Drosophila melanogaster: one gene and its partners. Changing the gene in region 1 together with any one later gene gives a genetic interaction. Each region holds a gene or a part of one and is shown on either strand. Other genes may lie near its edges.

The links. A genetic interaction does not mean that the proteins touch.
Region 2: of Cpsf100 (region 1) and so, changing one enhances a phenotype caused by changing the other (phenotypic enhancement), as found in Drosophila melanogaster (one study listed by BioGRID).
Region 3: of Cpsf100 (region 1) and tut, changing one enhances a phenotype caused by changing the other (phenotypic enhancement), as found in Drosophila melanogaster (one study listed by BioGRID).

What each region holds. Positions count from the first base shown.
Region 1 is NT_033777.3:29,033,027-29,037,622, reverse strand, and holds Cpsf100 (cleavage and polyadenylation specificity factor 100), read right to left. Parts: upstream 3,051-4,596; 5' UTR 2,961-3,050; coding exon 2,812-2,960; intron 2,753-2,811; coding exon 631-2,752; 3' UTR 561-630; downstream 1-560. Other genes in the region: Slu7, read left to right, coding at 1-540; beta4GalNAcTB (beta1,4-N-acetylgalactosaminyltransferase B), read left to right, coding at 3,704-4,596. UniProt on the Drosophila melanogaster protein: Component of the cleavage and polyadenylation specificity factor (CPSF) complex that plays a key role in pre-mRNA 3'-end formation, recognizing the AAUAAA signal sequence and interacting with poly(A) polymerase and other factors to bring about cleavage and poly(A) addition.
Region 2 is NT_033778.4:7,417,686-7,422,409, reverse strand, and holds the start of so (sine oculis), read right to left. Parts: upstream 3,061-4,724; 5' UTR 2,412-3,060; intron 1-2,411. UniProt on the Drosophila melanogaster protein: Required for visual system development. May transcriptionally regulate genes necessary for optic lobe invagination and Bolwig's nerve formation.
Region 3 is NT_037436.4:8,209,017-8,212,262, forward strand, and holds tut (tumorous testis), read right to left. Parts: upstream 1,728-3,246; 5' UTR 1,656-1,727; coding exon 1,542-1,655; intron 1,476-1,541; coding exon 1,297-1,475; intron 1,242-1,296; coding exon 842-1,241; 3' UTR 561-841; downstream 1-560. Other genes in the region: CG8006 (uncharacterized protein), read left to right, coding at 2,949-3,246. UniProt on the Drosophila melanogaster protein: RNA binding protein that forms a complex with bam and bgcn, involved in 3'UTR-dependent regulation of a subset of mRNAs. Preferentially binds a long isoform of mei-P26 transcripts.

The DNA.
Region 1 (4,596 bases):
ATCAACAATCACACAACAGTTTGGGGCAGTTTCTGGAACGCCGGACGCTGGGGTTACAAGTGCTGCAAGTCCTTCATCAAGAACTCCTACTGCGTGGGCATGCAGGAGCCAGAGGGCTACTCGGAACATCATTCTACGAGCTCCACTGCAGCGGCTACTACAGAACCTGCAGCTCAAAGCCAATTCAAGGTACCAGAAGTGCCACCTGAAAGGCCCACTTCCGAAGTGGACTCAGCATCGAGTTCGGAACCCTCCTCATCCGAAGAGGAGGAGGTAAAACCTGAGAAGAAGAAGACCAAGAAGAAGTCGAAGAAGCGCGAGAAGAAAAAGAAGGCTAAGGAGCAGCGAAAACAAAAAGGCAAGAACAAGGAGACCAAGGACAAAGATAAGACAAAGGAAAAAGATATTCCCGAGGAACTGGACGATCGCAAACGAGCCTATAACAGCATGTATGATGTGAAGGCGCCCACAGAGGACGAGATCGAGGAGTGGAAGAAGAAGCGGCCAAGGGCAGAAGATCCCATGCTGCAATTTATGTAGGCAATAAAGTACAACTGATTCTCTTATATAAAAACTTTCTAATCTTAACAAGTAAAACATTAGGGGCTTACACAAACGTCATTTTGAATATTAAACGATCGCATACTGCTCGTACAGCAACTCCCTGATCTTGTAGTACTCCTCGGATAAGCATCCCTCCATGGCTACCTTGCCGGCATCCACTCGCCTCAAGGCCAGAGTTCCGTTGCTGCACCAGAGCACGCCGCCGGAGAACTCCGAGTTGATGTTATTACGCATGAGAGTCTGCTTAAAGTCGGACAGTTTCAGCTCGTTAATGAGCACTGAGTTGTGGATAGGAATCTCATCGTCCGCCAGTGTTTCAAGAGTCAATGTCTTGCCTTCTTGCACGGAAGCGTCCTGCTCCACAGTTACGTCCATGGGTGCTTCGATGGCCTTCACCCGCATGCCCAGGCGACCATCCACCCACGCCACCTCCGCGTCCTTGCCCTTTTGGAACTGCAGCTGGGAGACAAGTCCTTCCGTCAGGCGTACCTGATAGATGTGAATCTCACTGGTGACATCAATGATTTCCCCCTTCTGCGGAGTAAAAACGCGCGCACCGACATTCTGTTCGCAGTGCCTGGCCACCACTTGTGTGCCTTCGGCAGTGCCGTGTATGACGATAACCCTTCGTGGCCTCAACTGGGAGAGGATCTTTAGCATGGACTCGCCATCAGAGCGACCTTCGAAATCGATCCTCTGGACTTGGGCATTCACCTCGATTGTTTTGCGTTGGCTTATCAGCTTGGTGGGCTTCTCCAGCAACTGAACATCATTGTCGACGATTCCTCCGTTAGCCTGTTGTTCTGCTCCTATGCCCGGTTCTTCCTTTTTAACATTCTCCTTGTTTTGCTCCTCCATAGGTACAAACTCATAGCCTGTCGCATCCGCAATCCGGTAGTCGTCTAGATTGATGATCTCCCCATACTCATCGCACTTCACCTTTTCCTCGTGATAGGGGAACATCACGTGGTGTCGTTTGTTGGACTTGAAAAAACCGGAGTGATGGCGACCCTCCGGTCTGACCACAATATCATGCTTGCCCGTGATGACGCTCATCTCGATGTCGTCCTCGGACTCGGAACTGCTCTCTTCCTCCACATCGGGCTTTACGATAAGGGGATTAAGTTTCTCGCCCTGTGTGCGTAGGTACTCCTCCAACTCAGCTCCTTCTAAGTCAACTCTTCGCCTGACGTCCAATTCGATTTGCTTGCCCGGTGCGCAGTTCTCCACCAGTTCCATGGCTAAAGTGCCGGGAGACGTACGAGTAGTAAGGATTATGCTATTGTTGGCATTGCTGGCCCATTGCACGAAGAGATCCCTCGTGAATCCGCTCTCCAGATCTGGGGTACTGGCCAACACCACTTTTGGACCAGCGGGCAATTTATAGACGTCCGCCAGTGAATGGCACAGCTGGATGTGCTTGAACTGAAAGGGATTGTTGCGGGCACCTTCGAAAGCCTTCGTGAGCTTGTCACTCATCCATTCTATCTGCGACTTGGCGAACTCAATCACGTTGTAGCTCACATTGTTAAGAAGGGCCAGGGAGTAGGCCATTAGCCCAGATTCCTTGTTCTTCCACAGCTGGTCCAGCATGTGGGCCAACTCCAGGACTCGTCCTGCCGTATCCACGGCTATCAGGACATTGCCGTTGTTACGCACCGTTTGCAGGATGTTGGTCATTAGCTTTTCATCGCGGGCCCTCCTTCTGGCCTGCTGGTACTGTGCGTTGTAGGCGTCGGTAATGAGCAGCGAAGGTCTTTGCAGCCTGTCCAGCTCGCAGCCACTTAAGTGGCGCTCCTTCTTATGGTTGAAGTCGGTGGCGTACACAATATCCTCCTCGCCCACCTTGACGATCTTCCAGATGGTGCCGCCGATCATGTGTCCAGCGTTCAAAGGCGTAATGGATATTCCATATCCTTTGTCCTTCAGTGAAACTGTTTGGTTGTATTTCAACTGGGTTATCTTTTCGAAAGCCGTGTCCACGTCGTCCAGCGAAAATAGATCGAAGTCTCCCATATTGAAGTGCGACATGTAAAGGTCATACATAAACATTTGACCCATTTTGAACACGGGAATGGTGGCGTAGATGGGGCAATTGAGCCCCAGCTTGCCCACCAAGTATGGCAGGGCTCCAAGATGATATGCATCCGGATGGGATAGCAGCACGGCGTCCAGGGTGTGCACCTGCCTGGGAATACACAAAATATTTAGGTTATTGTTTTCCTGAAATATGTATACAATTGTCACCTCTTCAGTTCCTTGATAAAGTTGGCATCGAACTTTTCGTCCCATCCGCAGTCAAGTAATATCCGCACATCGTCTATCTGTAGGATATAGCATGGCGGGGACTCGTCCATCGCCCCAGATATAGTGTGCAGCTTGATAATGGAGGTCATTTTTGCCAATTAAACCACCGGTGCATTTGTTTAAGAAATTGTAAAAGGAAACCAAGAGTTCTTCGCCGGTTCAGGGATGGGAAACTGTCACGGCGTTGCCAGAGTGCTGTTGCTTTGTTTATACAGTACGTACTTGTTGAGCGAACAGTACAACCCGATAATAAACAAAGATTGACATTTTAAATGTTATAAATTAAAAACTTTGATTATGTCTCTCATGTATTAACCATACATACATATGGCTACAACCTTCTTCAGTTCAATTACCTTCTCTTTAATGAGTCAACATTTATAACTATGCATCCTTATCAATAGAAGTCTCAACAATCTAGTATAAGTAAACACAACTTTTTATCAAATTATTGTTTAATTAATAAGGGTGGGGTAGAGTCATGCCGTTTTAAAGAACCATGGATGCCCAATCGGTTGCATACTTTTTATAAAAACAACTTCTTATGCTATTTTGTATTAAAGGCATCCTAAAAATTGATTTCATAAACATTTTCTTTTTGGTTAGTAGACTTTAGTTGTTCGTAAAAACCATTTAAAAAATTAATGAATATTATGTGAGAAAATAAACCAAAAAAAAAACAATTCGAGCTGGTGAAGTTTCACTGTCTGTTGGTTTATGCGTTGCGTCCCTGGTCGTCAGCTGTTATTCGCCAACCGGCCGCGAAGATTGCGTCCGAAATTAGGATGCGGAGTTTCCAAAGATCGCACTGAGTCAACTTTTCCTGCCAACAATGTTCGTGCGGCTCTGGGTCCGCAGCTTCCATAAATATGATCTTCTCATCGCCATCGGACTGATCACTCTCATCGTGTACCTGTGTCTGCCCTTCCGGTTCGCATCGCACTACGACTACATCGAGGAATCAAAGATCGAGGGGGCTCTGGTGCCGCAGGTGACCAGAAATGTCTCCCAGCAGGAAGTTTTCGAATGCACCTACTCGGAGATCATTGCCGAAAACCGGTTCGTCTACCACCTGGCCCATTACCATGACGCGGTGCAGAGGGGCGCGGAGATCCGTCCTGGCGGCGAGTTCCGTCCGGAAGGATGTCAGGCTCGCTACAGCACCGCCATCATTGTGCCGTACAGGCAGCGGGAGGAGCAGCTGCACGCCTTCCTCACGTACATGCACAATTACCTGCCGCAGCAGCTGATCCACTATCGGATTTTCCTGGTCGAACAGTTCGATCATAAGCCGTTTAACAGGGCGATGCTCTTCAACATTGGCGCCCAGGTGGCTGCGGAGTATGGATTTCCCTGCCTCATCCTTCATGACGTGGACCTCCTGCCACTGAATTCGGGTCAAATATATGCCTGCTCCGAACGTCCACGGCACATGAGCTCTGCCCTGGATCACTGGCGATTCCGACTGCCTTACCGCGGTCTTTTCGGCGGCGTGGTGGCCATCAACACCGCCCAGTACCAGCAGATCAACGGCATGTCCAATCTGTATTACGGCTGGGGCGGAGAGGACGATGACCTCTACGAGCGCCTGCAGGCCCTGAATATCGACATTTGCCGATTCGCAATGGAGTTCAGTAAGTACACCATGCTGAAGCACAAACAGGAGCAGCCGAATGCCAATCGCGTGGCACTGCTGAGATCGGCGACTCTGCGCCAGCACGCGGA
Region 2 (4,724 bases), on another chromosome or scaffold:
GCCCCATTCCCCTTCCCCTGTGCTTCTTCCTACTTTTATAAGATTTTAATTTGAATGTCGTGGAATCCCTGGAAATCTGAAAGCGGACACCTAACTCTATTGGGCTGTTAATCAAATTGAATTGTTCGAGCTGCCGTGGCTGCAAGCGTTGTTCGCCTAATTAGTTTGTAATCAAAGTCAGCTTACGATTGACTTGTTGATGGATTCGATTCAACTCGCAGGGCAGTTCCAAAGCCCTAAGTCCTAAGTGCACTTCGGGAACTCTGCAGGTGAAGTGTGCCCCAGCTCGAGGAGCACCCAGCTCAACTTGGAGCATGGTGCCATCGCAATCGCAAAAAGCACAAACAGTGCGCCTGTTTCTCGCGGCTAACACCGAAATCATCTGCTCCGGCGTCTGTGTTTATACAATGTAATCGAATGGGAATGGGATTGAGACTGTGACTGGGGATTGGGGATTGGGGATTGGGGATTGAGGACTGGGAAGACGTGTGCCATGCAACCTGTTGTGGGCCAGCCCCCGTTCCGGGTAATTCGAACGGCTTTCTGGCCGCTGGTCGGGATTAGTAAGCGCTGCTGCTGCCAAACGGTCGAGACAATCGCTGCTATCCGCCAGATACTATTTTTAACATTTTCCGTTTAATTGCCGCGTGAGGGAGCTACGCACAAAGAAATCGAATAGAGCGCGGCGCAATGAATGAAATTTGTCAATTTAATGGGTTGCACACACATGTGTCTCTGCCTCCGCAGCCGAATGTATCTGCATCTGCATGTCGGCTGCTTTTCGCCTTGCTGCGCCGCATTTGCCAAACTTTGAATGAAACTGAAGTGCACTGGTCGAAAGTCCCGCCGGTGGGGAGCTCGTCCCCAAATTACGACGGATTCTGCACGCCGGTGCGTAAAATGATCAAAGCTGCTGCGGCCAAACTTGCGTATCTGTATCTGTTTCTGCCCGAGTCCCGAATCTAGGCGAATGGAATGCGCAAATTTGTCAATTTGGCCACTTCCGAGATGGAATCCACATGGCTGGTATCTTGATGATCCGAAATAGGCAACCAGAACCGTACGCAACATCTGCTCCCATCTCTGCACTCAATTAATCATTCGACTTCTGACGACAAACACGCGTTGGCCAATTCGTTTAAACGCTCCCAATCCCCCGAATATCGCAAATATCGAATTTAGCCGGACAAAAGTGGGTCCACGCCCACTCATCCTCACACGAAGTACAAAAGTTGTCGGCCAAACAGTCGCTATAGTTAATAATTTCATAAATTTTGTGGCGAGAAACGAAATGATAAAGCCAAATGGTTTCATAAATAAACACTGTGTGCGTTGGTTTCGAGCACCAAACGGTTGGAAAGCCTTTGCGATGAATGAATGACAACTGGAAACTACTTTTCCTTTGGATCAAATCCATCTCATATCTTTTCCTCTAATTAATAAATACATCTGAGGTGGGTGGGCCGTTGAGTAGCCAACTTGGAAACGTGGAAAACTTAGAAAAAAATTGAGCGGTGAATAAAACAACAGAATTTTTCTTTTGGTGTGTAAACAAGTTTCCTTTCCAAATATAAGTGAACATGCAATTCCCGTGCTTTTGCCTTCGTTTCGATTCCCTCAGAATTGCTTCTCAAGTGCCTCGAGTTGGTTTTCCGATGGCTTTTGGCCATTTGGAATTCGCCAATGCCACGCCGCCAAAAAGCGAAGTGCACTTTGGCTCTCAGCTCTCCTCATTGAAATCGGCAAAACGTTGTGAATCTATGGACTTCGATGATAGATTGATCCATTAGAAAGCGGATAGAGATACGCCGTGACATTTATGGACTGCATTAATGTTTTCGCTGCACACGCTTTAAAGGCTATTTAAAGCACTAAAATATATTTTTAAATGAAGTCTTCAAATAGGCAAAGTGATTGATACTTTCTCAGAGAACTTTAGGCTTTTCTAATCAAGAATAACGCTTTGCTGTAAGTTCCATTTTAACCGTATGGGATGTTTAATAAAAGGTCTATGTTCTATGATCTTATCTATAGGTGATAAGTGATTTCTTGAACATGTGGTTAGTTCTTCTAAGGCTTAGTTTGACCTATTGAAATTATTATTTTTCTGAAACTTTTGTATATATTTATGGTTTTATAATTTTAAGGTTCCAATATGGAAATGTATAATCTAATATTAGCTATATTTATTCACATAATCGTCCCGAAATTTATCATAGTTATTATATCTCCTTTTTCAAGTATCAATGCCAATTTTATTTTAAATTAATCCCCCATATACCATTCGTTTTTCTTATTGTGAAAGAATATCCGTCCTACTTATGCATCTACATATATTTTTGCCATGGTTTCTAGTGTTCCACAGTAAACTTTTGCCGTCGGCAGCATGAAAACTGAATCTCGCTGCTCACCTGTATTTTGATTATTTATTGTTGATACGTATCCGAGTTTGTTAGTTTTTGTTTGTTACTCTTTGTTTGGGTTTGTGCCTTTTGCCTTGGCTTTCCGATTCGACTTGTGCTATATCCGCAAATGTTAGAGTTGGCCAAGAAGGCGCTGATTTCGGCTGTGCGGCATTTCCTTGATTTGCATTTTGGCCAAACTCTTCAAATCGAAGCCATGTGCCGTTCGCGCACGCACACACTCTTAGTCGCGATCACACTGGGCACTAACTAACACAAGCTTGCCGTTGAATATTGCTCATACGCACTGTGCGAACACGTGTTGCAAATTACTTTTCGCGAAAACTTCGCTGTCCTGCGCGACTCGGACAAATTGCACCTGCAAATTTGGTGGGCAAAGCTGCGACGACAGCACTGAGGCAGTGCCAACAAAAAATGGCCGCCCGCGGATTGATTAGCTCAATTTTGCTCGCTTTTCTCTCGCTTCGTGTGCGTTTATGTGGCGCGATACTGATGCGTTCATTCAGGAAACACGCAAATTAAATATAACTTTGTGCGCGGGACGTCAAAAGACCGCCGGATCCGGCCTGGATTACTAAGCGAGCGACGTGGGTAGAACGGGCAGCGAACCGCACGCGACGGAATCTCGAAAACAACTGAGAACTCTCCGGTTCTCAAACCTAATCGAACCGAAAACGGCCGAGACAAAAGGCAGAAAATGGTTGGTGCCGCTGGCGGTGTGCGTGCGCCAGAGCGAGATGGCCGACTGGTCGTGCGAGTGTGTGAGTGAGCGAACACCAAGGGGGTGAACTGCACAGTGGGATGCACCGACACTTTGTGCGTCACTTTCCAAAAACGTTATAGGAAAATAATGGAATCAAGTGAAGCGAGACTTACATTCACTGACTTTTATAAAGTCACTGGGCACACACAGTTCATGATTACACATATATGAACTGATGATAACTCAGAATTCACTACGTTTTAGTTGTTTTCAATATCTTGCCTTTACAAGTGTTTTTATTTTTATTCTATTTTATTTTATTGTATTCTAATGTTTTCGTAGTAAGACATAGTACATTTTTCCGTTATTATATGCTATTGTATCTTCAAAACATTAGAAAATGGTTTTATATATTTTTAAAGTGGCTTACAATTAAGTTAAGTTAAGTTAAGTTAATTGGACAAATATTTTTATAAACGTGTAGCCATTGAATTTGACACACGGTGCCAATCGACAACAGTTTGACAGCCACTGCGAGAGGGGCAGCGTGCGAAAGAGCGAGAGAGCGCATAAACAGGTTGACCGAAAGAACGCCCCCTCGGCTTACCTGTTCGCACACACACACACACACACACACACACATAGATGCCCTCACGCACACCGGCGCACTGGAGGACAGCAACGTGCTGATTGGTCAGCGGAAACGCATGCCAGCAAAAAGGCATGCGCATTGGGCGCCATATTGAAAGGCGGAAATCGGAGGTGATTGCAACTGCATCGCTGCTCCTCCCCAGGAACTCCTCATCCTGGCTGAAAGGATGCCCGGTGCAATAGCTGCCATCCTACAATGCCGTTTGAATTACTCACCGCAATAGTTCCATGCATCTCTCGTATAATTGCAATTACTGGCCTTTTCTCATATTCATTCACTCCACTTTTTTGGTTTAACTCAACCTTGTGGTCCTTCCACATTAGTGCGGTTTGCATTGTATTATTTAATGATTCCGAAGGAGATGAAGCCGTTTGGTAATTGAAGCCAACTAATTGTGTTAATGATTTACTAATATATTTAGTTTACTAAATATTTACTATATACACAGGCTCCTTTCGTCTTCAAGTCCTTGTTCATGATAACTGAAATAACTTGAACCTAATTTAATTTCAAACTATTAACATGATCTAGAGACACCTGTACAAAGTGCAGCGATGCGTTCAGAATGCCTAACTTTCTTTTTGAATACAAATAGTCAACTTAAATCACAGAGTACTACACTGCTTAGTGAATTTTGTAGATGGTAATTAATGTAATTAATGTAAATTAATGTAATTAATGTAATGTAACGCTAAATGTATAGAAATTAGTCAAAGTACCTGTTGTTGGAGGAACCGCTTAGACAAATGGTATTATTTTCAGCACTTCTTTATTAAAATTCTGTCCCATTTATCGGTAGCTCGATCTCAGCGTGTGCCGTGAAAATCGCATCGAGGACCACCCAAAATGCAAATTCGGAAACGGAGCTGGGAAACTCGATCGAAATCCAACAAAGATGATGGACTAATGGGGCGCCAGGCCGGTGCACCTAATCAAGATCGGCAAC
Region 3 (3,246 bases), on another chromosome or scaffold:
CGATCATTGCACTTTGGAGACCCGTAATCTGGAGTCAGACCCGGTACCCAGACACCGTGTCCAACACAATGCCAGCCGGAGGCTAGCGTCGACTCCTGCTCGCTGCACTCATTTAATTGCATTATGCCGCAGGTTGTCGCATTGCCCTGAAAGTCCTGGCTGCCACTCCGCCACTCCAAAGACACTGCATTAATTTGCATGTGAAAAACTGCAGCTTCGCTGCGCTGTCGGTGTTGTTTTTTTTATTTTTTTTTATTTTTATGGCTGCTCGCTGTTTTTGCCCAGAGTTAATGAAGTCAACAAGCTGCGGCTGCATTTCATCAGAGTGAGAAGCGGCGGGCCAAAAGGATTTGCCAGGAACAATGCTGTGTATAATTTCCCCCTGTCCTAACAACTGGTGAAAGTTTATGTTACATTCGCATGGGCAGCAACATAATTTACTGCCCAGAGAGCCACAGGAATTCCAAAATCCGCTTGGTTAGTTTTTTTTTAAGGTATAGTATGCATTCTAAAAGTGATTTGATATTTGGCTTTAAAATTTCATTAAAAAATCAGAGATTAACTTTGCAAAACACATATTCTTGTTTTCAAATTCCACGTATTACAAAAACTTACACAAATCAAGCAATAAACATCTTCATTCATATCTAAATGGTTGACTTATTTAAGAGTACTCTTATTTTACTTATAAACTTATTTAACAATAGAAAAAATATAACTAAAGTATTAAAGTATTTTATACATTTTCGTCCTACTTACGTGTAGTACAAACAAAACATTTGGAGCCTTATGGATTTGGTAGCATGAACCAATAAAGTAACATACTTGATACCACTTCCATTTAAAACTTGAAACAGCCCTTTTGTCTGGGAGGAACGCGTCGAGTACGATTTTGGCTTACTTCCCGTTGAAAACAGAAGCTACCGCTGGCTCTGCTCAAGATGTTCTCCGCAGTCAACCAGGAGATGTGCGCATGCTCACCGAATTTTCTGATCGAATTCCTTACTCTCTGATGGGCACTTGCGGCCGAGTCGTTGTTGCGGTACTCAAATATATAGAAGAACTGGTCTAATTGATACTCGTAGACTCGAACGATGGTAAAGGGATGTATCTTCAACATCTCCTGGTACACTTGCCATGGTCTAAGCGACGATTCTACGTTTTTGAGCACCAGCTCGCGATTGTTGGTCGATGGCTCCACCCTTAAGCACATGCAAAGCTGTCGGAATCGCATTGGCAGACTGGGATTATTAGGGTTAGTGCTGTTTTATGTGAAAATTATTACGAAGTACGTACTATTGCATTGCCGATTCCTTGAGGTCCACATTGATATATTGCAAGTAGGCGTAGCCGCGAGAATTTCCCGAAAAATCAATCTTATAGCGCATAATGTAAACTTCACCCAGTTCGCTGGCCACTTCCACAATCCACCGCGGAGAACAACTGTGATTCCTCGGTATACACGAGAGAAACAGCTAGAAGCAAAAACGTATTAGTGTCTCCGTAAACTTTTGAGACTAGATGCTTCACTAGACACTCACCTCGCCCTTTCCCTCATCCAGTAAGGATTTTAGATTTTCATCAAGGACTTTGCGCGTAGTTATGGTAATAGTGCCATTTACTTGACTGGTGCAGTATTTGCTCTCGAAATCCATTTTAAAAATAGCAAAAAAAAAAAAATACACAGCATACACGCGTGCATCAAAAAAAAAAAAAAAAGCTAAGATGCCAATGATTTAGTGTGACCAAATAAGCTTTAAAACATACAACGCTCGCGACGTTGCCAGATAGTCAATGAAGTTGGTAAAATTCTTTATACTTAACACTTAGGTAAAGTAACGGAGGGGCATAAACTTATTATTGTTTATGAACTTGTTTGAATGTTTAACATTTGTGTAAAATAGAGAGTGTTTTCATATTATATTTTTGCGTAAGAGGTCTTTTTTTGGCATTGCTGCGAACTCAGCTCTATACGAAGGTATTCTATTTTTGCTATGTACTTTATGCATTTACTTTACTCTTTTTCCAAACCGCTTTTTGCATGTCAGGCAATTTCTTTGCTCTTTATTTTTGCTTTCTTTTGACAGGCTGCGCGTGCTTTTTTCTAGCTCATGTTTAACAATATAAATTTATGCAGGCAGTCGGTCGTTTGCAACTTTTGCTCACAGTTCGCCACAAGCCGCAGCACCTATGTATGTATGTATGTAGGTTCGCATCGCATTCGCTGTTGTTGTTGCTGCGGTTAAGCCGCCCATCCGCCACCCACTCCACCACCCACTCACCCCACCAGGGGGCATCTTGATGGAGGTTGCGGTGCACTCAAGTGCCTGCTGCCGCTGCTGCTGCTTCATTTTCCTAATTTATACGCGCGCTGCGCTAATGAAAATTTACGTGGCAACCGCATACTGTTTTGTTGCTACTGCTGTTACACTAATAATTCATTGTTTCGAAATGGCCATAAGCAAATTACTGACATTAAACTATTTGTGGGAGGTAACATGTTGTTAGATTAATACACAACAGTTTTCTTAAATGAAGTGGTAAATGCAAAAGCTATCACTGTGAAGTCCAGTTTAGTCCACGTAGTGTAGAGACGCACCAGGTAAGAGTGTTTCGACAAGAAAATCCATTAAGTTCTTTGAAAAGTAAGCTCTGATATTCTTTGTTTAAAGTGTAGTGTCGCTGCTCCTTGTGCTTGTTGCCAGACGTGGGCCCACCACTTGAAGCATCTCTGAGAAACCCTGAGCTCCACTTTTGACCCCCCTCCCCTTTCTGCGGTTGAGAGACGTTTGGTGACAGTCGCCGAGTAAGGCCACTAGTCCCACTTATATTTCCGCATTTCCTTACCCGATTTGAGTAAGCGGTTTCATTTTATTCAAATCATTAAAATTACAAATATTTTTTGGGAACAAAATCAGTTGATTCCGGTTGAATATGCGAATGTGGCCATGAAGGATCTAAGCGAGGAGTTACTGGATCGCCATTTCAGGCAGCAGCTAGCCAGTTACAAGTATGCCGATCAGGCAAGGGCTAAGCAGTCGGATCGCCCCATCATGGCCAGATGGATAAAGATATTCGAGAAGGCTCCTCTCAGCGAGAAGTTGGCCCGAAATAGCCTGATGCTGCTCATGCATGGCCACTTGAAGGACTTTGGAGTGCTCAAGGAACCGTTCACGGATGTGCGTAACTACAGTAGGAATCTGAACGTAATTTTGGATGAGTACAGAGGCCAGCCATGTAAGAAGT